4 linked regions of the Caenorhabditis elegans genome follow. The protein of the gene in region 4 purifies or fractionates together with the protein of the main gene of each other region. This does not show direct contact. Each region holds a gene or a part of one and is shown on either strand. Other genes may lie near its edges.

What was found.
Region 1: the proteins of ift-74 (region 4) and osm-5 purify together in Caenorhabditis elegans (affinity purification with mass spectrometry, with the first as the bait; one study listed by BioGRID). This does not show direct contact.
Region 2: the proteins of ift-74 (region 4) and osm-6 purify together in Caenorhabditis elegans (affinity purification with mass spectrometry; 2 studies listed by BioGRID, with this or other methods). This does not show direct contact.
Region 3: the proteins of ift-74 (region 4) and che-2 purify together in Caenorhabditis elegans (affinity purification with mass spectrometry, with the first as the bait; one study listed by BioGRID). This does not show direct contact.

The regions. Positions count from the first base shown.
Region 1 is NC_003284.9:2,982,659-2,990,275, forward strand, and holds the start of osm-5 (Intraflagellar transport protein 88 homolog), read left to right. Parts: upstream 1-1,604; 5' UTR 1,605-1,619; coding exon 1,620-1,700; intron 1,701-2,293; coding exon 2,294-2,356; intron 2,357-2,704; coding exon 2,705-2,774; intron 2,775-2,825; coding exon 2,826-2,930; intron 2,931-2,980; coding exon 2,981-3,026; intron 3,027-3,076; coding exon 3,077-3,386; intron 3,387-3,795; coding exon 3,796-4,021; intron 4,022-4,067; coding exon 4,068-4,305; intron 4,306-4,727; coding exon 4,728-4,935; intron 4,936-5,256; coding exon 5,257-5,558; intron 5,559-5,604; coding exon 5,605-5,755; intron 5,756-6,660; coding exon 6,661-6,776; intron 6,777-6,855; coding exon 6,856-7,059; intron 7,060-7,108; coding exon 7,109-7,320; intron 7,321-7,468; exon of another isoform or gene 7,469-7,570; intron 7,571-7,617. Other genes in the region: nspg-5 (DUF19 domain-containing protein), read left to right, coding at 805-938, 991-1,129, 1,182-1,377.
Region 2 is NC_003283.11:11,924,091-11,929,204, reverse strand, and holds osm-6 (Intraflagellar transport protein 52 C-terminal domain-containing protein), read left to right. Parts: upstream 1-1,758; 5' UTR 1,759-1,798; coding exon 1,799-1,828; intron 1,829-1,876; coding exon 1,877-1,992; intron 1,993-2,374; coding exon 2,375-2,462; intron 2,463-2,540; coding exon 2,541-2,661; intron 2,662-2,710; coding exon 2,711-2,843; intron 2,844-2,931; coding exon 2,932-3,073; intron 3,074-3,120; coding exon 3,121-3,207; intron 3,208-3,319; coding exon 3,320-3,439; intron 3,440-3,484; coding exon 3,485-3,594; intron 3,595-4,018; coding exon 4,019-4,215; intron 4,216-4,260; coding exon 4,261-4,535; 3' UTR 4,536-4,584; downstream 4,585-5,114. Other genes in the region: F58H1.2 (uncharacterized protein), read right to left, coding at 49-100; aman-2 (Alpha-mannosidase), read left to right, coding at 289-1,039, 1,091-1,373; R31.2 (ANK_REP_REGION domain-containing protein), read right to left, coding at 4,873-5,114.
Region 3 is NC_003284.9:479,905-487,012, forward strand, and holds che-2 (WD_REPEATS_REGION domain-containing protein), read left to right. Parts: upstream 1-1,545; 5' UTR 1,546-1,546; coding exon 1,547-1,710; intron 1,711-2,660; coding exon 2,661-2,749; intron 2,750-2,844; coding exon 2,845-2,955; intron 2,956-3,007; coding exon 3,008-3,276; intron 3,277-3,323; coding exon 3,324-3,461; intron 3,462-3,681; coding exon 3,682-3,806; intron 3,807-3,853; coding exon 3,854-4,030; intron 4,031-4,073; coding exon 4,074-4,148; intron 4,149-4,627; coding exon 4,628-4,853; intron 4,854-4,905; coding exon 4,906-5,113; intron 5,114-5,156; coding exon 5,157-5,404; intron 5,405-5,918; coding exon 5,919-6,181; intron 6,182-6,226; coding exon 6,227-6,350; intron 6,351-6,463; coding exon 6,464-6,529; 3' UTR 6,530-6,600; downstream 6,601-7,108.
Region 4 is NC_003280.10:6,678,205-6,684,063, forward strand, and holds ift-74 (Intraflagellar transport protein 74 homolog), read left to right. Parts: upstream 1-1,851; 5' UTR 1,852-1,929; coding exon 1,930-2,020; intron 2,021-2,099; coding exon 2,100-2,281; intron 2,282-2,439; coding exon 2,440-2,545; intron 2,546-2,594; coding exon 2,595-2,881; intron 2,882-2,935; coding exon 2,936-3,443; intron 3,444-3,890; coding exon 3,891-4,136; intron 4,137-4,188; coding exon 4,189-4,466; intron 4,467-4,517; coding exon 4,518-4,628; intron 4,629-4,676; coding exon 4,677-4,742; 3' UTR 4,743-5,340; downstream 5,341-5,859. Other genes in the region: H43E16.1 (VWFA domain-containing protein), read left to right, coding at 1-398, 443-582, 640-717, 765-836, 883-1,087.

The sequences.
Region 1 (7,617 bases), on a different chromosome or scaffold from region 4:
AATGAATCATAATGACAAAGAAAAACTGTAACAAAAAGATAAAAAATTTCTAATCTATTTTTGGATTTTTAAATTTGCAAAAATCAAAGAAACGTCGGAATTAAATTTAAACTCTCGCGCAAATGAGTGACGTCATTTTTAGACCTTTTTACGTTTCCTGCCTTCAGCGATTTTTCATGGTTTTTTTCCAATATTTGATTTAAACATCGTTGTCAATTTTTTAAAGATATTTACCCTCAAAAGTTAGAATTAAAATTATATTATATATTGTCGATTTTTAGGCCAATTTTAAAATTTCCGCAAATTTCTATCCAAAGTTCTCTTCACGGAAAAATGCTTGAAAATTGACGAACAGTGATACAATATTTCAAAAATTTCAAAAAGATACAATATTTCAAAAATTAAGAAAAATCGATGAATTTAGCCAAAAAAACGCGAAATTATCAAAAATGATGTCACTCATTTGCGCGGGAGTTAAAATTTAATTCGGTCGTTTCTTTAATTTTTGCAAAATTGAAAAAATCATAAGAAATTCAAAAAAAAAATTTTACAGTAGTATTCAGGTAGTACGGTCCATTCTTAGGACCACTGCGACACAAAAATTGGCCTAAATTAAAGCTAAAATTATTCCTTTTTTTAATTCGAAACTGCCATAAAAAAATTTGAAAACGAGTTTGTTGAGAAGTTTCATTACGAAATTTGTTTATTTGAGCACATTTTGAGTTTATATGCTTCAAATACTCAGAACCGTTACTCCTATAAATATAATTCTCGCAACATTTTAAAACTTATATCTGGTCTCAGGGCTTATCAAAGATTCAACAACTGCCTCGGAGGGAGCTACATCAAACAAGCCTGCTATCCGCACGAACCGCTAAAGTCTCGCTATTCCGTTGTCGATTCAGTCTTGGATTATGTTTGTGGAGAAGGATATCAATGTATGACTTAGGAAAATTATCCTGTAAAGCGTAGAATTTGGAAAATTTTCAGCAATGCTCAACAACTGGAATTGCTACTTGTCTGTTGCGGAAAGCAGGGAGATTGCAATGTGTGAAGCAAGTTTCACACAATTGGCAAGAAACACTGAACAAATGTACAATGATTATTCGTCAGGAGCCGGAGCATGCTTGTGAGCTTTCATATTATAGATTTAATTGACAACTGACAAAAATGGCTTTCAGTGCACTTCAATCATATACCGACTGCATTCGTCCTGCAATTGAAACAACCTGTGGACTTGGCTCTTTTCTGACAGTTATCCAAGCAGTTGAACGGCCAATTCAAATTTACCTTCCATTCTGTACACTTTCTTCGTCCGCGATCTCATTTGTTCAATCAATCATAATTTCTCTTGCTGTTTTCTTGTTTTGCCTATAATTTATTGTTTTGAAATTGAAAGACTCGAACCCCATAACTTAATATTGTCATTGAAAACCCCTCAGACCTATACATGTATAAACTATTGCATCTCATTCGGTGTTACACTCTCTCTCTTGCTTACATAGTTACTATGGCAACGCTCCGCTAGCTTGACGAAAATTGTTTTCTCTTGGGTGCCATGGCAACCAGAACACCAAGCAGCGCACTCTTCTCTATTTCTTCTGAGAACACTTTTCTTAATGGCGAACAGCACTTTTCGTGAAGATGATGACGATTTTTACGGCGGTTTTGATTCGTATGATAAAGCATATGATATTCAGGTTTGATAATAATTTAAAAATGAATAAGAGTCTATGATTTTTTGCTATAAATGATAGTATTACTGTACAACAATTTAAACATTTTTTTCTAAATTTTTAAATATTTTTTTCAATTTTGCAAAAACCAAAGAAACGCCCAATATGATTATAAATTTCCGCTCAAATGAGTGACGTCACCTTGGTTTTTCTTCATTGTTCTTTTATATCTCATTTGAAACTTTATTTACCAATTTTAAGAGCATTTTTCCGACAAAAAAATTGTATGTCAATTTTTAGGTCAATTTTGAAATTTCCGCCAACCGGGTTTCAAATAAAATATAGCAGAAAGTATCTGAAAAACATAAATATTTACCCGAAAACGCAAAAATATCAAAAATGACGTCAACTTTTCCGCGCGAATATTAAAATTCAAATGAGACGTTTCTTTGATTTTTGAAAAATTGAAAAAAAAAGAATCAAAAATTAAGGAACATTTGACCCATTTTTTATAGTTACATTTGGCTATTAGGGCCTATTTTTTATCATTTCAAGCAAAATTTCTAAATGATTCTACTCCTCCTGTAAATACGCAATAATAAATGTGTTTAATTCAGAACATAACTCAAAATCCACAATTTCAACAAGCCGTTGCTAGGTCGAGCCATGGAAGGCGTCCGGTGAGTGACAATTGGAAAATAAACTGTTTTGTATAGTAATTAGAAATTTTTTACCTTAAAGAGAAAAATTTTTAAAACTTCAATCAAAGGAGAAATTGAGTTTGTGTGTTATTTTGCTTAAAAAATACTAAAACTGACTAAATTTTATGATTAAACTTTTTTTTCTAAAAAATTTTTCCGATTGGTAAATTTTACCTTGCTGCTCCGGTCCGAAACAGTTTTAAAAAAATCATCAGCAAAAAAAAAAAAAAAAAAAATTTCGGGCAAAGTTGACCTTTTTTTGACTTTTAAAATCTTTGAAATTTTTTTGAAAATTTTTATTACAATTTATTACAATCTTTTTCTAAGACTGCATCTCAAATGGGATTCCGAGATGCTTCCTCCTCTTATGGAAAACCGCCGGGAACGATGATGGGAAGTGAGTAACCAACTACATTTTTTTTTTGCAATCAGGATCCGTTCTTTTCAGATCAAAGTCGAATGGGCGGTCGAACAGCCATGGCTAACAACAATGAACCTGCGAGACCGATGACCGCTGTCCGCGGAGCCGGATATACATCCTTTGCAAATAAAGGTGACATCCGCACCGTCCTAAACTATTTGTTCACAGTCACTTTTTTTCAGTTCAAGCCGCAGAAAGACCACTAAGTACCGAGAACTCGGGTGAAAAGTAAGAATATATAGTTGCGAAATTTAGTTGAAAAATCATGTAACTTGTAGTGGTGAAGAAAAATGTCGGCAGATGGAAAACAAAGTAATGGAAATGCTCCGAGAAAGTATGCTGGCTAGTGAGAAGAAAAAGTTCAAAGAAGCGCTGGATAAAGCGAAGGAAGCTGGGCGACGTGAAAGAGCAGTTGTGAAGCACAGGGAGCAACAGGGATTGGTAGAGATGATGAATTTGGATCTAACTTTCACCGTGTTGTTCAACTTGGCTCAGCAATATGAAGCGAATGATATGACTAATGAAGCGCTAAACACTTATGAAATCATTGTAAGGAACAAAATGTTCCCAAATTCTGGGAGACTAAAGGTAAATATAAAAGTTTTTCTTAAGGATATGTATGTCCTAACAAAATTTTGGGCTGCAAAGTTCCACCCATCCAAATTGTGATATGAAATTGTTTCAGTGCATTTTTAATACTTTCAAGTTCTTTAGAATTGCTCCAAATGCTTTTTCTGCATACTTTTAATAATTTTCAAATTGGTTAGATGTTGGTAAAGATTCTGAAATGTTTTGGAAATTTCCAGTTTTTTTAAAGAGTCAAAATTTCTTAAAATCTCCTAGTATATAAAAACAGCGTTTGGAGCAATTCTACAAAGCTTGAAAATATTAGAAATTGTGCTGAAGCAATTTCAGATCAACATTTGAAGGGTTGAGCATTAACAGTAAAGTAAAATTTTTTCATTATTTTGACTAAGCTTAATATATATTTTTTCAGGTTAATATTGGAAATATTCATTTCCGCAAACGTGAATTCACAAAAGCTTTGAAATACTACAGGATGGCTTTAGATCAAGTTCCGAGTATTCAAAAAGATACAAGAATTAAAATTCTCAACAATATTGGTGTAACTTTTGTCAGAATGGGAAGTTATGACGATGCCATAAGCACTTTTGATCATTGTGTGGAAGAAAATCCGAATTTTATTACAGCCCTCAACTTGAGTAGGTTATCACTAGAAATTTGATTTTTTTTAATGTTATTTTACAGTATTGGTAGCATTTTGCATACAAGACGCAGAAAAAATGAGAGAAGCATTTGTGAAAATGATTGATATTCCTGGGTTTCCGGATGATGACTACATGAAAGAGAAAGATGATGATGATGTTTTGTTGAATCAGACCTTGAACTCGGATATGCTGAAAAACTGGGAGAAACGGAACAAGTCGGATGCTGAAAAAGCAATCATTACTGCAGTGAAGATTATTAGCCCGGTTATTGCTCCTGAGTGAGTTTTGAATGTCAGGAAAATACAGAGTAAGATGACAAAAAACAATTGAAAATTTTTTTGTCGGTTGTTAAAAATTTTCAACTGAATTTGTGTCGAAAATTCTAGTTTTTTTTTAAACAAAAAAAACCAAGTGAAAATATTTTTACACTTACAAAAAATTCAGGATAGAAATCATACTTTTTTTTGATAATTTCGAGATCGAATATTCAAACCCAAATTTTTTGTATGTGCAAAAATAGTTTGCACTTGGTTAGGCACAATATTTTTGGCAACCGACAGAAAATGGTTTGAACGAATTTCTTTCAAAATCTTTTTGTATTATTAGTTGGTATTATGTTGTCCTTCCGGTTGCGTAATTCCGTTATATAAAAGTTTTTGATATACATAAGTAAAAAGATAAATAAATAGAAATCTTCCAGCTACGCTATCGGCTATGAATGGTGCCTTGAATCTCTCAAGCAGTCTGTACACGCACCATTGGCAATTGAACTTGAAATGACAAAAGCTGGTGAGCTGATGAAAAACGGAGATATTGAGGGAGCAATCGAAGTGCTGAAAGTTTTTAATTCGCAAGATTCCAAAACAGCCAGTGCGGCTGCAAACAATCTTTGTATGCTGAGATTTTTGGTAAGTTGAAAGTGGAGTATAGAAATTGTTAAAACCAGTTATATGGTGCCAAAATGACCAAATATCAATGTGAAATTTTTTTAATTCATGAAAATTCTTATTAACAGTCTTATTAACAGAAAAAGTTGCAAAAAGATTTGAGATTTCTCCAATTTTTCAATTTTCAAAAAATCATATAAAATTTAGATTTTTTTTTTGGAATTTTCGCATTTTGATAATTGGTCATAGTGGTGTCATAGTCATGTCATAATCATGTTTTAATGCAATTTCAATTTCCCACCGGCACTTCTCTACCTCATTTTTGCATATTTCAACTTGCAGCAAGGAGGACGCCGTCTAGTAGATGCACAGCAATATGCTGACCAGGCACTTTCAATTGACCGCTATAATGCGCATGCTCAAGTCAACCAAGGCAACATTGCGTACATGAACGGCGATTTGGACAAAGCTTTGAATAATTATCGAGAGGCGTTGAACAATGACGCTAGTTGTGTTCAAGCATTGTTCAATATTGGACTAACTGCAAAAGCGCAAGGCAACCTGGAGCAGGCACTTGAATTTTTCTACAAACTTCATGGAATCCTTCTGAATAATGTACAAGTGCTAGTGCAATTGGCTTCTATGTAAAACAGAAACGTTATGAGTGTTGAAACAAAATTGTTACTTTAGATACGAGTCATTGGAAGATTCTGCACAAGCAATCGAGCTGTATAGTCAGGCAAACAGTTTGGTTCCAAATGACCCTGCAATCCTTTCCAAGCTGGCGGATTTGTATGATCAAGAAGGTGACAAGTCTCAAGCATTCCAATGTCATTATGACGTCAGTTTGTATAATTGAATATTATGGGACCGAATAAATTCCGGGTCAAAAAAATCATAACTTTTTTCGCTGCTTATTGATTTTTCTAAAACTGTAAGAATTTATGGTATTAAAGATGATTTTTCATTTGACGGTTATTTCAAATAGGTTTTACCACCCAAGTGTCCCTACCCGGAGCCACTTCTGTTCAGTTCATAACTGAGGTTTATAATAGGATTTTTCAAAGTTGTAAGTCTCAAGTCTTATGGGGAAGTAATGTTACAAAATCTATTTTAATACATTTATGGCGTCACAACTGTATTAAAATACATTTTTTTTATGTATTTTAATACAGTTCTGACGTCATTTTTTTCACTTTTTTAAATTTCCGACACTTTTTGTATAAGTTTTTGAAAAAAAAATGCTTTCAACAAAAAAAAATTTTTTTGTTGAAAATTCATGATTTTTTTTACAAAATTGTTGCAACCTAGTGTAAACTATTTTATTTTTGATTTAAAAATTTTTCTCGAAAAATTCTCAAAAAACTCAAAAAGAGCTCGAAAAAATCATATTTTCAATATCCATTTGAGTAAGACATATTGAACTCGGATGTTTTGTATGTGTAAAATTAGTTTAAATTTGGTTGCATCATTTTTTGAATAAAAAATCAATAAATTTATATTTTAAAAAATTCCTGAAAATTTTTTTAACGACTTTTTTGAAACTTTTATACTTTCAGTGTGTTCTTACAATTTATTTCGAATTAATCAAAATCCGCCTTAATTCCTTAGTCAAAAACTAAAAAGGAGCAAAAAGTGGCTCCGAATAGTTTTAGAAAAATTGATCAGCAGCAAAAAAAGTTATGTACTATAACCAGGAACTTATTTAAACCCATAATATAAAATATCCGACTTATGGTTTTTCAGAGCTATCGATATTTTCCATCAAACCTGGAAACCGTTGAATGGCTGGCTTCTTATTATTTAGAAACTCAGTTTTCTGAGAAATCCATCAACTACTTGGAGAAGGCTGCCCTGATGCAGTAAGTACTTAATTTCTAATGTTTCGTAACATTAGTCTTGCGTCATGATGAATAAAATTATGAATAATGTGCGCTTCAGGCCAAACGTTTCAAAATGGCAAATGATGATAGCCAGTTGCCTACGACGGACAGGCAATTACCAAAGAGCTTTCGAGCTTTATCGTCAGATTCATCGCAAGTTCCCTCAAGACCTCGACTGCCTCAAATTCTTGGTTCGAATTGCCGGTGATCTTGGAATGACGGAATACAAGGAGTACAAGGATAAACTGGAAAAGGCTGAAAAGTAATATAAACATGCAAATAGAGAAAATTTCAAAACAAGCGAGTTATAGAATCAATCAACTCCGTCTACAACGGGAAAGTGATTCAAGCCAAGGAAAACGTCACTCTGCAAATTCAACGCATTCCCTTCCCCCATCCGGCCTGACCGGTTTGGGATCGGGGTCAGGTGGTTCGAGTGGTGGTGGCACCCGTCAATACAGTGCACATGTTCCTCTTTTGCTGGATAGTGGCACCCCGTTCACGGTGGCCCAACGAGATATGAGTAAGGGCAATGGAGTTAGAGAGTATAGATTAGAGAGAGTATAGATTAGAGAGAGTATAGATTAGAGAGAGTATAGATTAGAGAGAGTATAGATTAGAGAGAGTATAGATTAGAGAGAGAGAGAGAGAGAGAGAGAGAGAGAGAATCAAGGGGTGCGCGGCAATTGCCGACCGTCAATTCAACAAAATGAACCAGTGCGGAATGTTTTCTCAAACTAGGGCTGTGCAAATCGGCGTCGTCCGATTTTGACACCACCGAACGCACATGCATCCGGTTTGGGGTAGGTTTCCACGGCGG
Region 2 (5,114 bases), on a different chromosome or scaffold from region 4:
GTACGCATCCTAGTGCAGTTTATGAAACAAAATATTTCAGTAACTCACCTGAAACTGCGGATACAGCTAGAATAACTGCAGCTGCATAGAACATCACCATTCCTGCGTAGAAGCGCGAAATGATACAAATCAGCCGTTGACATGATAAACAAGTGATTGAAATAAGGCGATTTGGGTCAAGAGATGCATCCGTTCTTCACTCCTCTTCACTCTCTCACTTCTCATCCCTTCAAAATCTAGGCTTTTCCTCCAAATCTTTTGTTCGCTTTAAAAATGTTTTTCTTTCAGTCGCAAATGGAAATGAAGACAACCCGGCTGGCGCATACCTGTTCCTTCCCGATGGAGAAGCTAGAGAACTCAAAAAACAATCAAGTGATTGGATATTGGTAAAAGGAGAAGTTGTTCAAAAAGTGTTTGCAACTCCAAACAATGATCTGAAAATATTGCAAACGTACACACTTTATCAAGGGCTTCCATGGATTGATTTGGATAATGAAGTTGATGTACGTTCCAAGGAGAATTTCGAGTTGGCACTGAGATTCAGTTCTTCAGTAAATAGTGGTGATGAGTTTTTCACTGATCTCAATGGAATGCAAATGATAAAAAGGAGACGACAAACTAAATTACCAACACAGGCCAATTTCTATCCCATGTCTGCTGGTGTTTACATTGAAGACGATACTACCAGAATGTCAATTCATTCGGCACAGGCTCTCGGAGTTAGCAGTCTCTCGTCGGGACAAATTGAAATAATGCTTGATCGACGACTTAGTTCAGATGACAACAGAGGTCTTCAGCAAGGAGTTAGAGACAACAAACGAACAGTTGCACATTTCCGTATTGTTATTGAGCCGATGTCTTCATCGAGTGGTAATAAGAAGGAAGAACGAGTTGGATTCCATTCACATGTTGGTCATCTCGCTACGTGGTCTCTTCATTATCCTCTTGTCAAAATGATTGGAGATGCAACACCAAAATCTATTTCTTCGAAAAATGTGGAACAAGAGCTGAACTGTGACCTGCATCTAGTGACATTTAGGTGTTAAAAAATCTGAAATCTACAGTAACCCTCATCTTTAATCATTTTCAGAACACTGGCATCGCCGACAACTTACGAAGCCAACGAAAGATCTACGGCAGCTGAGAAGAAAGCAGCGATGGTGATGCATAGAGTTGTTCCAGACTGTAGATCCAGGCTTACCCTCCCAGACACGTCATGCTTAGCTACTGGATTAGAAATTGAGCCACTCAAATTGATCTCGACACTGAAGTCTGCGAAAAAAACGTCACTAACCAATCTTTATGAAGGAAACAAGGCTGAACAATTCCGACTCCAACCAAACGATATTTCCAGTATTCTTGTATCATTTTAATTTTATAATTGCTTATATGTAGTAGTTATATTTTCAGTTTTCATTACATTTCATGGGTATTTATTTATTAACTATAATCTTGTATAAGACGATGTAATTATGAAACAACGATTTCACACTTCCGGTTTTCATGTAAAATTTTTTTCGTTCCAAATAAATTGTTATAAAATTAATTACATCTTTCATCAAACTTCAAAAATGAAATTGCATTTTTAATAATTAGGAGTCTATTACGGAATTCATTAAATTTCAGAAAACAAAGTTAACTATATATTTCTCTAGTAGTTCCTTTCCCAGGAGACCCTTCCAAGATTTGTATCCACATGTTACCATAGTAACCACTCATTGCTTCTCGCTCACATTGTCTGCTCCCTCTCTTGGGGCTTATATCTCTTTCAAGCTATTACCTTCATTAGTATACATCTATGCCTCCATTTTCAGACGAAAAGATGACTGTAAGTATTAGATTTTAGTTTTCGCATTTTATTATTTCCATTTTCCAGAACCGGAGTATTGGGAGAAAAGTTCTGATTGATCAATCAAAACAGCAACAAATTAGTTTGATTAGTGGTTTTCGTGGTGTGGCAAGACATTTAAAAAGTGTTCTTACTGTTGAAATGTGAGCTTTTTTGGAATATTTAACATTTTATACATTAAATACATAGTTGAAAGATTTACGATTTATGATGAAAGAATACGATACCCGGTCTCGAAACGAATTAAAATCGGATCCTGCGAAGAAGCAGGTTTCTTGTATTTTTGTTTCTCATTTTCTTATTTTGAATTCTTTGGAATAAATATTCAAATTATACTGAACAAATTAAGCTGCTATTTAAAAAATAAAAAATAAAACGAAAAAAACAAAATATTGGAAACTACAGTACTCCTCGAAGTCGAGCAATCCTTTGCGCGGAATTGTTTTGCTCGCGTCGAGACCTGCTACCGTAATTTTTGCCAAATTTGAATTTCTCTCGCAGATAGATAATAATTTTTAAATTCAGAAACACAGAACCAATTAACTTAAATGGATTAGAAGATGTTCGGATGCTTATCATTCCACAACCAAAGACATCATTTGGAACTGGAGAGGTTTAGGATTTTAAATTTTATTAAATTTCATTTGATTGTCTCAGCCTAATTTTAACACCCAAAAAATTAAAATTTAAGATTGAAGCAATATGGAAGTTTGTGGAAGAAGGTGGTTCATTGATGATCCTTTCTGGTGAAGGTGGTGAGAGACAATCATTAAATGAAATGATTGCAAAATATGGAATTACTGTGAATAAGGGTATGTCTTTATCAAATTAAATGAATTACAAAAATCATCAACATTCAAGATTCGGTAATTCGTACTGTATTCCTGAAATATTTTGATCCGAAAGAAGCTTTAGTAGCAAATGGAGTCATAAATCGAGCAATTGCAGTGGCTGCAAAAAAGAATGTGAGCACTGAGCAAAAACATAATTCACAGTGAGTTGAACTATTAGCTTTTTATTTATTTAGGACAAAATTCGGTTTCCGATTTTCCAAAAATAAAAAAGTGATTTCAATATTTCAGAGCACTTTCATTCATTTATCCATATGGATGTACTCTAGATGTGAATAATCGTATGTCGAATGTAGTATTGTCTTCTGGAAGTACAAGTTTTCCAACAAGTCGCCCAGTTGCCGCTTTTCATGAGACAAAACTCAATGAAATGGTATTAGAATATTCTGAAATTGGTACATTAATTCATATTATTTTCAGAAAAAGAAAGGTAGAGTGTGTGTGGTTGGATCAGTCTCGATGTTTCATGACACATACATCGATAAGGAAGAAAATGGAAAGATTTTTGTAAGTGTATTTTTGATATGGTTCGAAATAAACTTCCCCGGTTGGTTGAGGCGTGCAGGATGCGCCTCCCACCCGCCTCTTAACTCGCCTTATTGGAAAATTTCAATTTCAGGATACATTTGTGGAATTCCTGGTCAATGGTCTTGAACTGAACACGATAGATGCTGCAGAGCCGGAAATTAATGATTACACAAATATTCCAGATCATATTCATATGTCCCAGCAGATCAAGGTTTGACTTCAAAAAATTATACTTTCTAGACAAACTAACAAACAGGTTTGTATGTACGAAGGAGAATTGGATCAGGCAATCAGTTCGGATTTCATGAAGATTATGGATACTTCGTTGCATTCTTTTAATTTGAAACATTGGCCAATGACTATAAGGTACTGTGCCCTAAATACTTTCCCCTGACTACAGAAATATGTTTGTTATTACTAAGAAAAAGATTCAAGAATCATGCTTTCGAAAATGGAAACACGGTTTTACCCAATCACCAACTTTGCGATGTTTTCCTGAAAATACGGTAGCTGGTCTCGACACGATCAAATTATTTACGAATAAAGTACGGAAAAGAGCGTGCGACTTTAACAACTACCGTAGTACCTCACTCTGTTTTCTAATAGTCAAAAGAGAATAATGAGTAGTGTCACACTACAGTACTGTTTAAATTTTTAGCATTTAAAGGCGCAAGTTTCCGCGTCCTTCTTTTGAAATTATTTCGATATTTGGAAAGAATATTAGAATGAAGTTTACAATAAGTTTTAGTGTAAAACATCATTTCTACTTGAATAAACATTTTTATTCTAGATTGTATGAAGCATTGAATCTTTCACCTCCACCACTTACCCTTGTTGAACCTCAATTTGAACTTCCAATGCCTCCATTTCAACCTGCAGTATTTCCACCAACATTTCAAGAATTACCAATGCCTCCTCTTGAATTATTTGATCTTGATGAACAGTTCAGCTCTCCGGAAATTCAACTTTCTCAGCTCGCAAATAGAAGTAAGAGTTTTTATTCAGAAAAAATAATAAATGGAATAGTTTCAGGCGAGGAAGAAGATCTCATATTCTTTATTGAAAAAGCTGGTGAAATTACTGGAATATCTGCTGAATTGACAAGAAGTGAACGAACCCCCAAGAAAATAATTGAGTTGGCAGTGAGCAAACTCATGTTATTCAAACGTTCAATGATGGATGGAGAGTTGGAAGTTGCATCAGCGTTCGATATTGGAGAGCATGATGCTCATCATCAAAGTTTTAATCAAGGCGAAGAGATGGACGAGCAGCTGTTCTCTGATATTGATGAGTTCGATGATTTGTGATTGATTTGTCTGGAGATAAGATAATAAAATATTCATGTTGAAAAAAAAACGTTTTGGATTTTAGTGGGCACAATTGAAACGATGAAAAATGACCCGATACGGAGAAGAAAATGGTTAAATGATTGGGATATCTAACAAGAAAACGGTAAGAAATTGGATGATTAAAGAATACACTGAATACCGGGTAACTTCAGGCGGTGGATGGGCGGGGCGTGATGAGGAGGAAGAATGTATGAACTGGGATGGTGATTAGATTTCAGTTTTTCATGACTATTCTTTTAGAGTTTAGAAAGCCTATGTATCAACTATAGGGTAAAACTAATTGAAATCTTAAAGTTTACTTAAATTTCTTAACGTAGACGTAATAACCAAGACCGGCAACTCCAGCAACTGCAGCTGCAGCAGCCACATTTCTGACGACGTCTGGATTATTGTGAATCCACGTGGCCAAATCGCTGGGTTCGCGTCCTTCTGGAACTTGCTTCGACTCTTCGACAACTGTGGCTTTTGTTGATGGAGCTTGGTGTGCAGAAGCTGGTGGAACAAACGATGGTTCATGTTCTGATTCTAAAACAGTTG
Region 3 (7,108 bases), on a different chromosome or scaffold from region 4:
CAATGCTTCAACCTTTTTTTCTGCAGAGATTTTTTTGCGATTCTGCGCTACCAGGAAGACTTTTTCAAGTTTGAAAGACTCGAAAGCTTTCTCAGCTACGTCTATGATCCTTATGTCGATTCTTTGAGAGACGTCTCATCAAAAGCGTTTTTGGTGTAGGAGAATAGAATTTTCAATGGTTTCATGAAATTCGGTTTTTGAACATTTTCTTTATTTATGTAGTTAATTATTATTTCTTGTATCTAATTTTTTTGATGTTTTATTAAATCCACTTTAACAAATTTAGAAAACATTATTTTCGTGGTATAATCGGAAGTTTTTATTTTGATTCAAACTTGACACCCAGTCCAAATATTTAGACAAAAAACTTTCAAATGTCCTAAATTTTATCAAACAGCTAGAACACGCATTTTTTTCACCAACAAGCATTATTTATGTCCAGATCAGGGGTGGGCGTCAATTTCCGTTTGGCAATTTTTTTGCGGCAAATCACCAAATTGCCGGTTTGCTGATTTGCCGGATGTTTTTAATTCCGGCAACTTGCCAGTTTGCCGACTTGCCGTGAAATTTCATTTTCGGCAACATGCCGATTTGCCAATTTGGCGGAAATTTTTATTTTCGGCAGACTGCTGATTTGCCGGAAATGTCTAGGGGGATTTTTTTATAAGACACTGTGCCTTTCTGTGAATTTTTTAACGTCTTTTCTCAATTTTTCATAAATTTTTTTACTTTTCAAAATAGATGTGGAAACATTTATAGGATGCCTACAATGTTGTCGATTAAAATTGAAATTCCGAAATTCCAAAAAAAAAAAAGTGCAAAACCGCAATTTGCCGGAAATTTCAATTCTCGAAGTTTGACGATTTGCTGATTTACCGGAAAAATTGTTTGCCGCCCACCCTTGGTCCAGATGAAAAGTGCAATTTCTAATTGACTCTGTCAACATTGTACAGAATAAACAGATTATTTCAAAGATTGCATTCACATTTAGGTATACATTTTTAACTGCATCTAGCTCTCAACCTTCAGAAATAAACAGGATTTGCTCCCCAATAATGATCCGATGATCAATAGGCATTACGAGCAGTAGCTCGAACAATGTACACCAAGTTATTTTTCAAGTACTACAGAATTTCGGGTCTTAAGCGGAACCGAGTAATCGTAGAAATCTCCCGAACAGTGGCGTATGCCTAGTACCGTCAAATGTAATTTAGATAAAAAGCAACAAAAAAATTCTCAGTTTTGTCTTCCATGTCTGTTTCAATTTTTTCTTTATTGAAATTTTATTTAAACAGACAAAAATTTGAATCTCCCTCATCTCACCAGATTCTTTGTTGATGTACACCTGCGGTGGTACTCTACTATTAGTTCCTTCTCCTCCCGTCTTGCCGCAGCTCTCTGAATTGCTGCCAGCTGGTTGTCATGGTGACTGCTCGCGCATGGCTCAGCTAGTGTTTGCAATACGTTTTTGGTTTTTCGTTAATGAACCCTCAGAGATTTGGGCTAATCAATTATTTTCTACAATTCAGGCTTTCAACTTTGCAGAATGAAATTAAAACTATCGGCGTCTCGGAAAACACGCCACACAGAAATGGTTTGTGGGGTGGGATGGATAGGCACCGAGGCCATATTGTCGGCAGCCGATGATCATGTTTTTCTGCTAACAAATACCGCCACAAATGAATCTCAACAAATTTTGAATATGCCGGAGTGAGTTTTTTTTTCATCATTGCGAGGCGAAATGCGACTACTCTAAATTAAAGGTGGGGTACCGAAATCTAGGAAATATTTTTAATTGATTCCAAATTTGCCCCTGGTTCACAATATTTAACTAGGGACTCTTTTTTGGTGACAAAAGAGTTATGGGACGAATTATATATTTTCTGAAAGCTAATACAATGCTCATATCGAATTCAAAATAAAACCTTGCCCAAATTGATGCTAAGACAAATGTTGTCCTCCGAATGCGTATTTAGGTTAAAATGTCATTGTTTTTGAAGCTTCATATCTCGATGGACTTCAAAGGTACAAAAAAATCAATTGACAAAATGTTAAGAATAACACAAAAATTCCATTTGATATGTTGCGTACTCCTGTAGTTATAAGCATTTAAAATATTAAAATTTAGCTTAAAATTTCATCGTCTCATATTTCGAAAGGAAATGGAAAAATTAAGTGTTCATATTAATAAACAAGGAAAAAATATATGGAGAAAATCATATAAGGCAAACGCGCTCAGAGGATTATTTATTTCTGTGCCTATTTGAAAAAGAAACCGGGGCACACATGAAATGTGTGATTTAAAGCTCAAATATAAAATCAGGGATTTTTTTTTGAATTTTTCACATTGATATTTGGAACCATAGGCAAATTTGGAGTCATTTAAAAATATTTCCCAGATTTCCGTACCCCACCTTTAAGTATGTACATACATATGTATATATTTTAATTTTTATAACAAAAAATCTAATTTACTTTTAATTACAATAAAATGATTACGATTTCATATCAACTGACTAAATTTGACCGATTTTCTCAGCTGCAATTAATTAGCTCAATGCAATAGAATGTTGCAGCTTTTGTGGTCTGACAATTAGAACTGCAGCAAAAACAAAAACTTCAATCAAAGAATTTTAAAAAATCAGAATTTTATATTCCAGAACTTTCTTCCCCACGAGTCTTCATATTTTTCCACGTTCCCAAACTAAAGGTGGTCAAAATGATGTGTTTGCAGTTTCAACTTCTGATGGTAAGTTTTTCTTTTGTATTTTTTTTTCATTCTTAACGAAAATGTATACGTATGGGTTTTGTTTCAAACCCATAAACACCGAAAATGAATTTCAGGAAAGATAAACATACTTTCGCGAAACGGAAAAGTTGAAAACATGGTAGATGCTCACAACGGAGCAGCTCTCTGTGCTCGATGGAATTCTGATGGGACTGGATTGTTGTCAAGTGGGTTCAATACTAAAATTTCAAAAAAGTATATAAAGAAAGTCAGTTGCAGGCGGAGAAGATGGGTTTGTGAAAATGTGGTCGCGGAGTGGAATGCTGCGTTCAGTGCTGGCTCAATTTGCAACAGCCGTTTACTGTGTGGCATGGGACTCTACGTCTTCCAATGTTTTGTACTGTAACGCTGACCATTGTTATATCAAATCGTTGAAAATGCAAGTTGCTCCGATAAAATGGAAAGCCCATGATGGAATCATTTTGTGTTGCGACTGGAATCCAACTTCGGATTTGATAGTGACTGGCGGGGAAGATTTGAAGTTCAAGGTGATTTTTGAGTCTATACTCCAATCTGTCTGAATTTTATACTATAGGTTTGGGACGGATTTGGTCAGATCCTGTTCAATTCTTCTGTGCACGACTATCCTATAACAAGCATTTCGTGGAACACTGATGGAACTCTGTTTGCTGTTGGATCTCATAATATTCTAAGACTATGTGATAAGTCTGGAGTTAGTGGTTGTTTTTAAAGAACTGAAACAATAATTTTTATTTCAATTCATTTCAAATTTTTTCAAGGCCAACATCGGCTATTTAAGCTAACATTTTCTCTGCTGCTCCACAAAAATACTGAACTAATTGCCCTCCATGAAAATTCATTTTCGATTTACCAGCAAATAAAAAGAGCAATTTATACTACTTTAACATCAAAAAAAAGTTTCAAAATTACAGTGGTCTCATTCTTTGGAGAAAATGAATGCTGGATCTGTGATGGCACTCAGTTGGTCACCTGATGGAACTCAATTAGCCGTTGGCACTGCTGCTGGGCTTGTCTTCCATGCACATATTATTGATAAGTAAGATCATAGGGATGATTTATTCATTACTAATTAGAAAATTCCAGGAGACTGACTTATGAAGAATTTGAAATTGTTCAAACCCAGAAAACCGTTATAGAGGTTCGAGACGTCAGCAGTGAAGTTTCCCGAGAAACTCTCGAAACGAAAGAAAGAATATCGAAAATCGCGATTCTATATAAGTATCTGATTGTGGTCACATCATCCCATATCTATATTTACAGGTATGATTTGAAAAGCAAACTAGCCTCCTATTTTTGTTTTCAGCTCCAAAAACTGGAATACTCCCACTATGATCGAGTACAATGAGAGAACTGTGAATATCATTGTGCAATGTGAAAAGTAACGTCTATTGAATGTTTTTGTACTTACAATTAGTAACTTAATAATGCAACAAAACATTTTTACAGAAACTGATAATTTTTGCTACAAACGCTATTAATTGAAATAATGGTGATTGCGTATTATTGCCCCACATTAATCAGTATTTGTTAATTTCATGTTGGGAACCAAAATTAAAATTTTTACAAACTTGTATGGGTTCATATTTTTAAAACATTGCAAGACATTCAGACATTCTCCATCGCACAAAAATCTTTAAAAAAATAAAATTTCAAATTGGCAAACTACAAATTTTTCAATCATCTTTTAAACCAACTGTTCACAAAACAAACGATTAAAAAATTCCGTTTTCTTCAAATTTTTTTTTGTACGTTTCAGCAAGTTATCAAAATTTGACGCGAATTCTTAATTATTAAAGTTATTTTCAAATCATTAGACTTCATAATTATACCAGCATAATGTGTGTATAACTTTTTAAGGATATTTCTTGTGTCCGATGGAATGACAATAACTATATTCACTTATGAGGGAAGAAAACTTATAAACCTAAACCCACCGGGTCAAGTAATGGCTCTACTAGACGAAAGAAAGATCGACCTGGCGAATGATACACTTGTGGTCCGAGATCGTGCCGACAATAAAGTCTTGCACTTTTTCGATCCAACAACAGGAAAAGCACAGGGTGATGGAAATTTGAAACATGAGGTACAACGTATATATTAACTATTATACATAACTAAACATTTCAAACTTTCAGCATGATATTGTAGAGCTGACTGTGAATCAGTGCGGACCACTCAATGATAGAAATGTTGCCTTCCGTGATCAAATCGGTGCAGTTCACATAGCTATGGTGAAGACTTTCGGTGTCAGCCAGAGGATGGTAAAAATAGGATCACTAGTTGAACAGCTTGTCTTCAACGATGTCACAAATATGCTGTGTGGAATTTCGGAAGGAAAGATTGGTAAGTTCCAACACTTTATTCTCAACTTCAACACATGTTTAAGCTGTTTGGCCTCTTCCAAACGTTGCCTTCCACGACAGAAATCTTCTACAGAAATCATTAATACAGAAGAACATCGGCAGCGTCGGAAAATTTCCACAGTTGGCTAATTTTGCCGGAAATACAATAGTTATCAGGAAATCAGATGGATGTTTACTGCCAACTGGGATTCTTCCGTTCTATGGAACACTCATCACAATGGCATCTCAATCAAAATGGGATCAAGCAATACGACTATGCAGAAGTATTGGAGTGAGTGAATGTTTTGAAAATGTAGATATGTCAAATTCATTCAAAATGCCGCACGGCGCATCTCACGTCTTTTGTGTAGTGCGTTTGGAATCAATAAAATATCATTCCTTTTATACAAAACAGTGACCGTTTGTTGACTATGTCCAAAATGGGCGTAGCCGAACATCGTGGCGAGACCCTTCGTGGTGATACCCATTGTGGCGAGATCCGTCGTGATGAGACTCATCGTGATAAGACTAAAAAATATTGACAAAAAATTCAAATTTTTTGAGAAAACAAATTTTTGTGGAAATCTCAAATTTTCTAAGCATTTTTTGGTGGAAAATTCAAATTATCTGAGAAAAAAAGATTTGGCGAGAAATTCAAATTATCTGAGAAAAAATGGCGGGAAATTCAACTTTTCTGAGAAAAGTTTTTTGGCGGAACTATAAAATCCATGAAATAGTTAGCGGGATTAATTTTGGGTGTAATGTATAAACGTGTTGCTATAAATGACCTATTTATCAAAATTGAGAATGACACAATGTGGGCGACTTTTGCTGGATTAGCTGTTCTCCACAAAAATATGATCGTTATGGAAATTGCCTATGCAGCATTGGAGGATGATGAAAAAGTTTCCCTGATCAACGAAATCAAAGACAAAACCGATAAAGAGACTCGTCAAGCTATGCAAGTGGTATTAACTGGAAAGCTCGCAGATGCTGATGTCTTGCTAGAAAGAAGTGGACTAAGCTTTCGCTCGCTTATGTTGAATATACAAATGTTCAAGTGGAAAAGGCAATTCATAATCAGATGTTTTTTTTTTAACTTGAATACTTTCAGAGCACTCGAACTTGGCTTGAAAAATAAACAGTGGCTCGAAATTGTAATGGGATATCGTGAGAAATACTTGAAGAACTGTGGACAAAAAGAGACAGACCCTCTTTTTTTAAAGCACATGTCAGAGGTAAACCAACTTGTGAAAGACAAAACATCAAAAACTTTTTTGAAAATTTCAATTTACAATACATATTATTTCCAGATACATTTTATTTTGAATATGAATAGCTTATTTTTCAGGTCGAAATCGACTGGGTGCATATACGAGAGCTGATTGCCGCGGAAAAAGCTAAAGGAAACAATTGACTCCATTTTTGTATTTGTTTGATGTACCCATTCGAATTGTTATAATTTACTCAAAAAATTTCTAATTTCAAGACAGCAGGGCAGAAGCTAGAAAAAATTGCTCCGAGTTCGAGCACTTGGGGCGATCGAAATTTTTTGAAAATATCATCAAATGAAAGTAGGACTTATCGCCACCCCTGATATATAATGAGGACACGATTTCTGAAAGCTCTGAGTAGTTTTGAAAATTTTAAAAATGTTTTTCAATTTTCCAAAAGCTCCGGAACAAGGATGTCATCACGGTAGCATAGTGTTAATGAAACAAAAAATCAACAAATAAGAACACTTTTTTCCAGATGTAAATTTTACACATTTTTCTCCATCTTACGGTTATATTCCTTTCTAACAATTTTCCTAACAATGGTCCATATATCTTTTGGTAGCCGGAGAGAAAAACTACTAGCGGCATTGACAAAACAGTTTTTATCTATACAATAAATCTGGGCTGGGAATAAATTCGGCACCTCACTCTTCCTAAAGAATTATCTTTTAAAGTACAGCTGTTTTTTATTTCAGACAAATGTCTTAAATATATAACTG
Region 4 (5,859 bases):
ATCCTAATACTGGATCTACAGGATCAACTGTAACTCAGCCATCGGCATTTTCAAGCACTTCTGCATCATCATCAACTCAACCGATTGCATCATCAACTACAGCAAACCCAGGATCATCTACCAGTGGACCAACAATTGCAAGTACGCAGGGATCATCTTCAACTCAAACAAATTCAAACACTGGATCGACCACTGTAGCTACTACTGTAACACAAGGATCCTCAACTGAAGGGAACACTGGGTCAACTACTGTAAATTCTCAAAGCAGTAGTGTTGCATCAACAGTAGCATCCAGTACATCTAACATTGTCTCATCCACTTCCCAAGCTCCAACATGTGCTTCTCCGTACAGTGGAAAGATTGCAACTGTTTTTGAATTGAGTGCAAACAGTGCGACGGTAAGAACAATCGTTTTGCCAATTTTTAAGTTTTAAATTTCCAGAATGTTGTAAACTTTGTGACCAATAATTTGTACAACTCAGTCAACTATGATTTTACTTCAACTACACAAGCAATCAATGTACCATATGGACAAACCGACAGTTATCCTACCAATAAATTTTTACAATATGGTGGGGCAAAGTATGTTTAATTTATTTTTGTTTTTGTTCAAATAACATAGCACGGCAAATATTTCAGGAGTTTAACGAATCTTCAAGACAACATATCTGATTTATTAGATAGTGCTATTTTGATGATGGATTCCACAATTTCCGAGTGAGTAAAACATTTATCAAAGTTCTGATTGATTAATGTATTTGCAGCGGGCTTCAATGGCTTCATGCTAATAGAGATCCAGCTGGAACAAATGCAGTTATCATTATTGTTGGAAACCAGTAAGATTTGTGAATTTTCAAATTTTTTATCAATCTACAATTTCAGCGATGATGAAAACCCCGCAATGACTACATTCACTCTTCGAGACCTCAGAGCACAAGGATATAAAGTGATTTCGGTAGCTGTTGGTGAAGGTCATGGAGATTTTTCCCTAATTCCGGATAAACAAGAATGGTATTTCCAAGTAAACGATTCAAATGGACAAAATATTGCTGATCAGATCTCATCTATTCTTTGCAACTTGAAATAATCATCTCCCCACTGATATCTTTCCTTACTGTGCAAGTTTACCCATTTCTTTCAGAAATAAATATATTACCTATAACAGAGCGCTTGATTGGTTTAAATGTGTCGCTAAAGGTTTCTCTAAACTTGGAAATTTTGCAGGAAATCATCTTTTATTGCGTCGATTATTTTATACACGACACCAAAAAAAAACATAAATAAAAAGCAAAGTAAGTTTTCATTAAATTCCTTAATTAATCAAAAACTTTAATTTTTCAGAAGTATATCTGATCTTCAGAGTAATATTGATACTCTTTCCACCAATGCTGTCTTATCGACAGACACTACAATTTCAGAGTAAGATATACATTTTTCGATAAACAAAATTGTTTAACTTTTTTCAGTGGTCTCAAGTGGCTTAGCGAGAGTTATCCGGACGGAACAAATACTGTTACCATTGTCGTTGGATACCAGTAAGATTATTTATATTACACGCCGTCTTCAAATATATATTTCAGTGTTGATGATAACAATGGAATGACATTACTCTATCTTAAGACTTTGAGAGATCAAGGTTATAAAGTTATAACGGTAGCTGCTGGTGTAGGACATGGAGATTTATCTGGAATTGCTGACAAACCAGAATGGTCTTTCCAAGTTAATAATTTCTTTCAACTATGTGGGTTCAATAAAAATATTACATGTTTCCATGGAAACGGTGTTCGTATTCTAGAGCGCACTTTCTCACATATTCCATAGCTGGAGTGTGCTTGTTTCTATGACAACTAAACACGCATCAACCACAAATACGTTATTCTAATCGCTTCTATTCACACAAAAGAGGTATTCATCTGAAAAATAAGAAGAATGGAACGCCCATCAACTGCATCTTCTCGTCCTCGAACCTCCACCGGAAGAGCACCGTCGGCACGGGCTAGACCTCCATCTGCAATGAGAGGTAATAGGGAAATTGTATTTTTCTTACCAAATCTATGTAGAAAAATAATAATTTTCGTTACCTAAAATAAAATTTGTAGCTCCTCCACCACAACCAACATACGAAAATCGTCCAACGACTGGAATGTCAATGAGAAACGGAGGGCCTCCTGTTCCTCCATCACGAAGTGGTATGATTCCAGTACCTCCGTCTAGATCTGGTGGACCTCCTGCACCGATGCCTGTGTCAAGAGCTGGGGGACCTCCAAGAGCACCTACTTCTGTAAGTATAGCTATAAAGCATCAAGAAAATCTACCTATCGGAAATAGATTTCCAAAATAAATTTCTAAAAACAACACTGACTGAACTTTAATTTTAATTGAGATTTAGATAGCACAATAGTAAATACATATTTTTCAAAATTTTTAATACATTTCCAGATGGGTGGACGCCCAATGACTGGAATGGCAAGACCTCCAACAGCCGGATTGAGACCAGTTACTCAACAAGGATTACGAGCTCCTCCGTCAAGAATGGGAACTGGAAGTATGTATATTCTAGACTCCATTCTAAATTTTAATCAAACATTTTCCAGACTCCCGTCAAGTATTTGACAAATCATACTACATCGGAGTTCTTCGAGCGAAACAAAACGCTATAAAAGTTGAAATATCTCGTATGAAAGAGAAACGAGATAAAGGAATAAAAGATCGAAATGAGCTACATGCATATGAATCAAGAGCATCTGCTCAAGCACAAGAGATTAGTGATTTGCAAGGAAAATTATTGGATTTGAATAAAATAATGGAAAAAATTCATTTGAATGGCGATATGTCGGATATTGAGTTAGAAGCAAGCAAAATGAAGGAACAAGCTGATGAGGTTAGATTACTGTAGATGAAAGATCACTTTAAGTTATAATTTATATAATTATAGATGAGATCATTAGCTGAAGAAGTATTTAATGAACGTCGTGCAAAAGAAGAGGAACTTCAAGGATTGGAAATAGAAGTTGAAGAACAAAAAAAGTTAAATGAAGCAGTAACACATGCAATGGATCCTCAAATGAAAGAAAAATATGAAGATTTAAAGTCTGAAGCGAAGCTTTTAAGAGAAAGAGTTGTAGAAATGGAAGCGAAAAATGAAGATTTAGATGATAGAATTTCAAAATATGAAATTGAAATTCGAAGTAATCCACTGAAAAAGAAGGCAATCCAACTACAAGAAACATTGGATACACTCAAAAAACAAGAGGAAAAACTAATGGAAGATATGCAAAGTGCACTAACACCAGAAGCATGGAGAGATAAAATGTCAGAAAATATGAAACAATTGAACGCAGATTTGGTTGTGATTGAGAAACAACACAAAACTGTTAAAGATCAAATTTCATTGGCTTCAGAAGAATTACACGAGTATGACTCACAAGGAGAAGCTCAAATCAGTACGTTTCCTTTTTTTGATAAGAAACTATTGTGCATTTGTGTTTGGTATTTGGTATTTGAAATGACGTATCTATTAAATATGTCATTGTTTTACCGCAAATAATTCTTCATGGAATTGTGCGTACACGGTCTTATAGGTGGAGTAGAGTTTGTTTTATATGATAGATAATGAACCTAAGTTGGCAAGGTTGAAGTGGCTTATGTAATTTTAATACATTTTAGAGCTGTAAAAATTTTAAGCACTACAGTCCATTTTCAATCATTTGAAACAAAATACCCACAGACACTAATCAATACATTCAATATGGCAATACAATATCAATACGTTCAAGTTTGACCATTATGGGATTTGAAAATCTGAAAATCTGAATTTTGAAAACATGACATGCAGATCACATTAAAAGTTAGAATCGAGTTTCAGAATTCAAAAAATAATAATATTTCAGTGGCTCATCACACAAAATATCTTGATCTACTTTCGAAAAGCACAATGCTTGACGATACGACTGAAAATTATCCACAGCAAATTGTCATTTATCAGCAAGACATTGAAGAATTCTCCGACGCAGTTGTACTGATTTTGAGAAAAATATCTGCCAATTTGAAGAAAGTGAATCTAGAAGATCAGATAACTGATTTAGATGAACGAGGTCTCACTTTACAGACCGGAAATGTGGATGAACTTAAAGAAAGTAGGTTTGATGAGCGATTAAAAATAACCCTCATTAAAAAATATTATTTCAGTGCATGTTCGACTTCAAGAAGAGCTTATATCAATTGAGGATATGGAATTGGCGTTAAATGAAGAAATTGATAATTTGGAAACTGAGGAGAAAAAAATAGATCAGGAATTGGCGGGAGTCGGGAAGAATGTAGATTCAGATGGGCTCCGACAAGAGCTTGAAGAACGTCAAAAAAGGCTTGAAGATGAAGCTCCAGCTCGTTCACATGAAATGCAACAGTTAGAAGCAAATGTAGCAAGTATAAGAAATGAACTTCATTCAATTCCAGGATACTCTCAAGTGAGTCGATATGGTTCTATATTAGTTTTACCAATTATAAATTTATTCCAGCACAAAATGCTTCGCGAACGACTGGAAGCTGTTGAGAAACGTACTGCTGCAAAATCACTTGACATGAGCTTGAGGAAGACTGAAATTGACTACGAAGATATTAAAACAGAGGTGTGGATTTTTTCCTAATCGAGTTAACAATATTTTACTTAATTTCAGAGCATTCGACTTCAGGAAGAATACAATAACATGCTTTTGACCAATCCATTTCAAAGATTCACCTGATTTATTAATTTTTCACTAAATTTATTTATTAAATTTACATTGAATATGCTGAACTGTTCCTGAAACAGCAAAAAAATTATTGGAAAATACTAATTAAAAAATTGAAAAATCTTTGCCTACAGTAGCTTTAAGGAACACGACAAACTTTATCTGAACATGTCTCGTCACGACTACCGTACCTTGAAATTTTCCCGCCCGATTTTCGCAATTTTCTTGCTGATGAATTTCTTTGTTTCTTTCCTGATTTTCTCGATTTTTAATCGTGTTTTTGTTTTTAGAATTTTTGGAAATTTGAGGAGAAGATATATATCAAGTATGAAGCACCCTTTCCGCAAGGTCGCCGTAGTTCCTTTTTTGTTTCCGTCGTTTTACCCTTTTCGGCGATCTTTTTGATTGATAACGTTTAAGTAAGGCTAGTTTTAAATTGAGTTTTCTCAATTTTTCTTCAATTATAACATTTCCATCATTTTTGCAGTCAAATAATATTGTAATTCTATTTAAAATATCGTTTGATTATATTTTGAGAACCTTTATTGATTGACTGTTAAATATAACGAATATATTCAACAGCTTAAACAAACAAATAAAATAAGTTCTATCTGCGCGAAAAGCTACAAAGGATACGAAGAAAAGTCAAGAAATCAATTCAAAAATTATGCCTAATTTTACATAGCCTTTTTTTTTGCTTGATAACGATATATTCACAACATTTTCTGGCTAAAGAAAGGTGGAAACGTTTTGTTGTTCTTCCAAGTTGTAGCTCGGGGGGCCGAAAAAAGTAGGCGCGATGCGGTCGACCGCGACGCAACTCATTTCTCTGCTTCTCTTTATTTCAGTAATCTTTGTTTCGTGGCGTGGTCTCGAGAAATAAATAGACGCAGGGTGTGGTGAGAAAATTGTCCGCAACCACCGCCCGGCAGCTAGATATTGAACCAATATCTCACGATAAACTTTTACCCTTTGCATACATGCTAAAATGAGAATTAAGAATACAGTTTTTATAGTAATCTGAACTTTTCGTTTTTTAAATGCCTGATAAGATTAGTTACTCGGGCTTCTGCCACGTAACATTCGTCTCTGCGTATCTCATCTTTGAACAAGCAATTTTCGTTGGCCG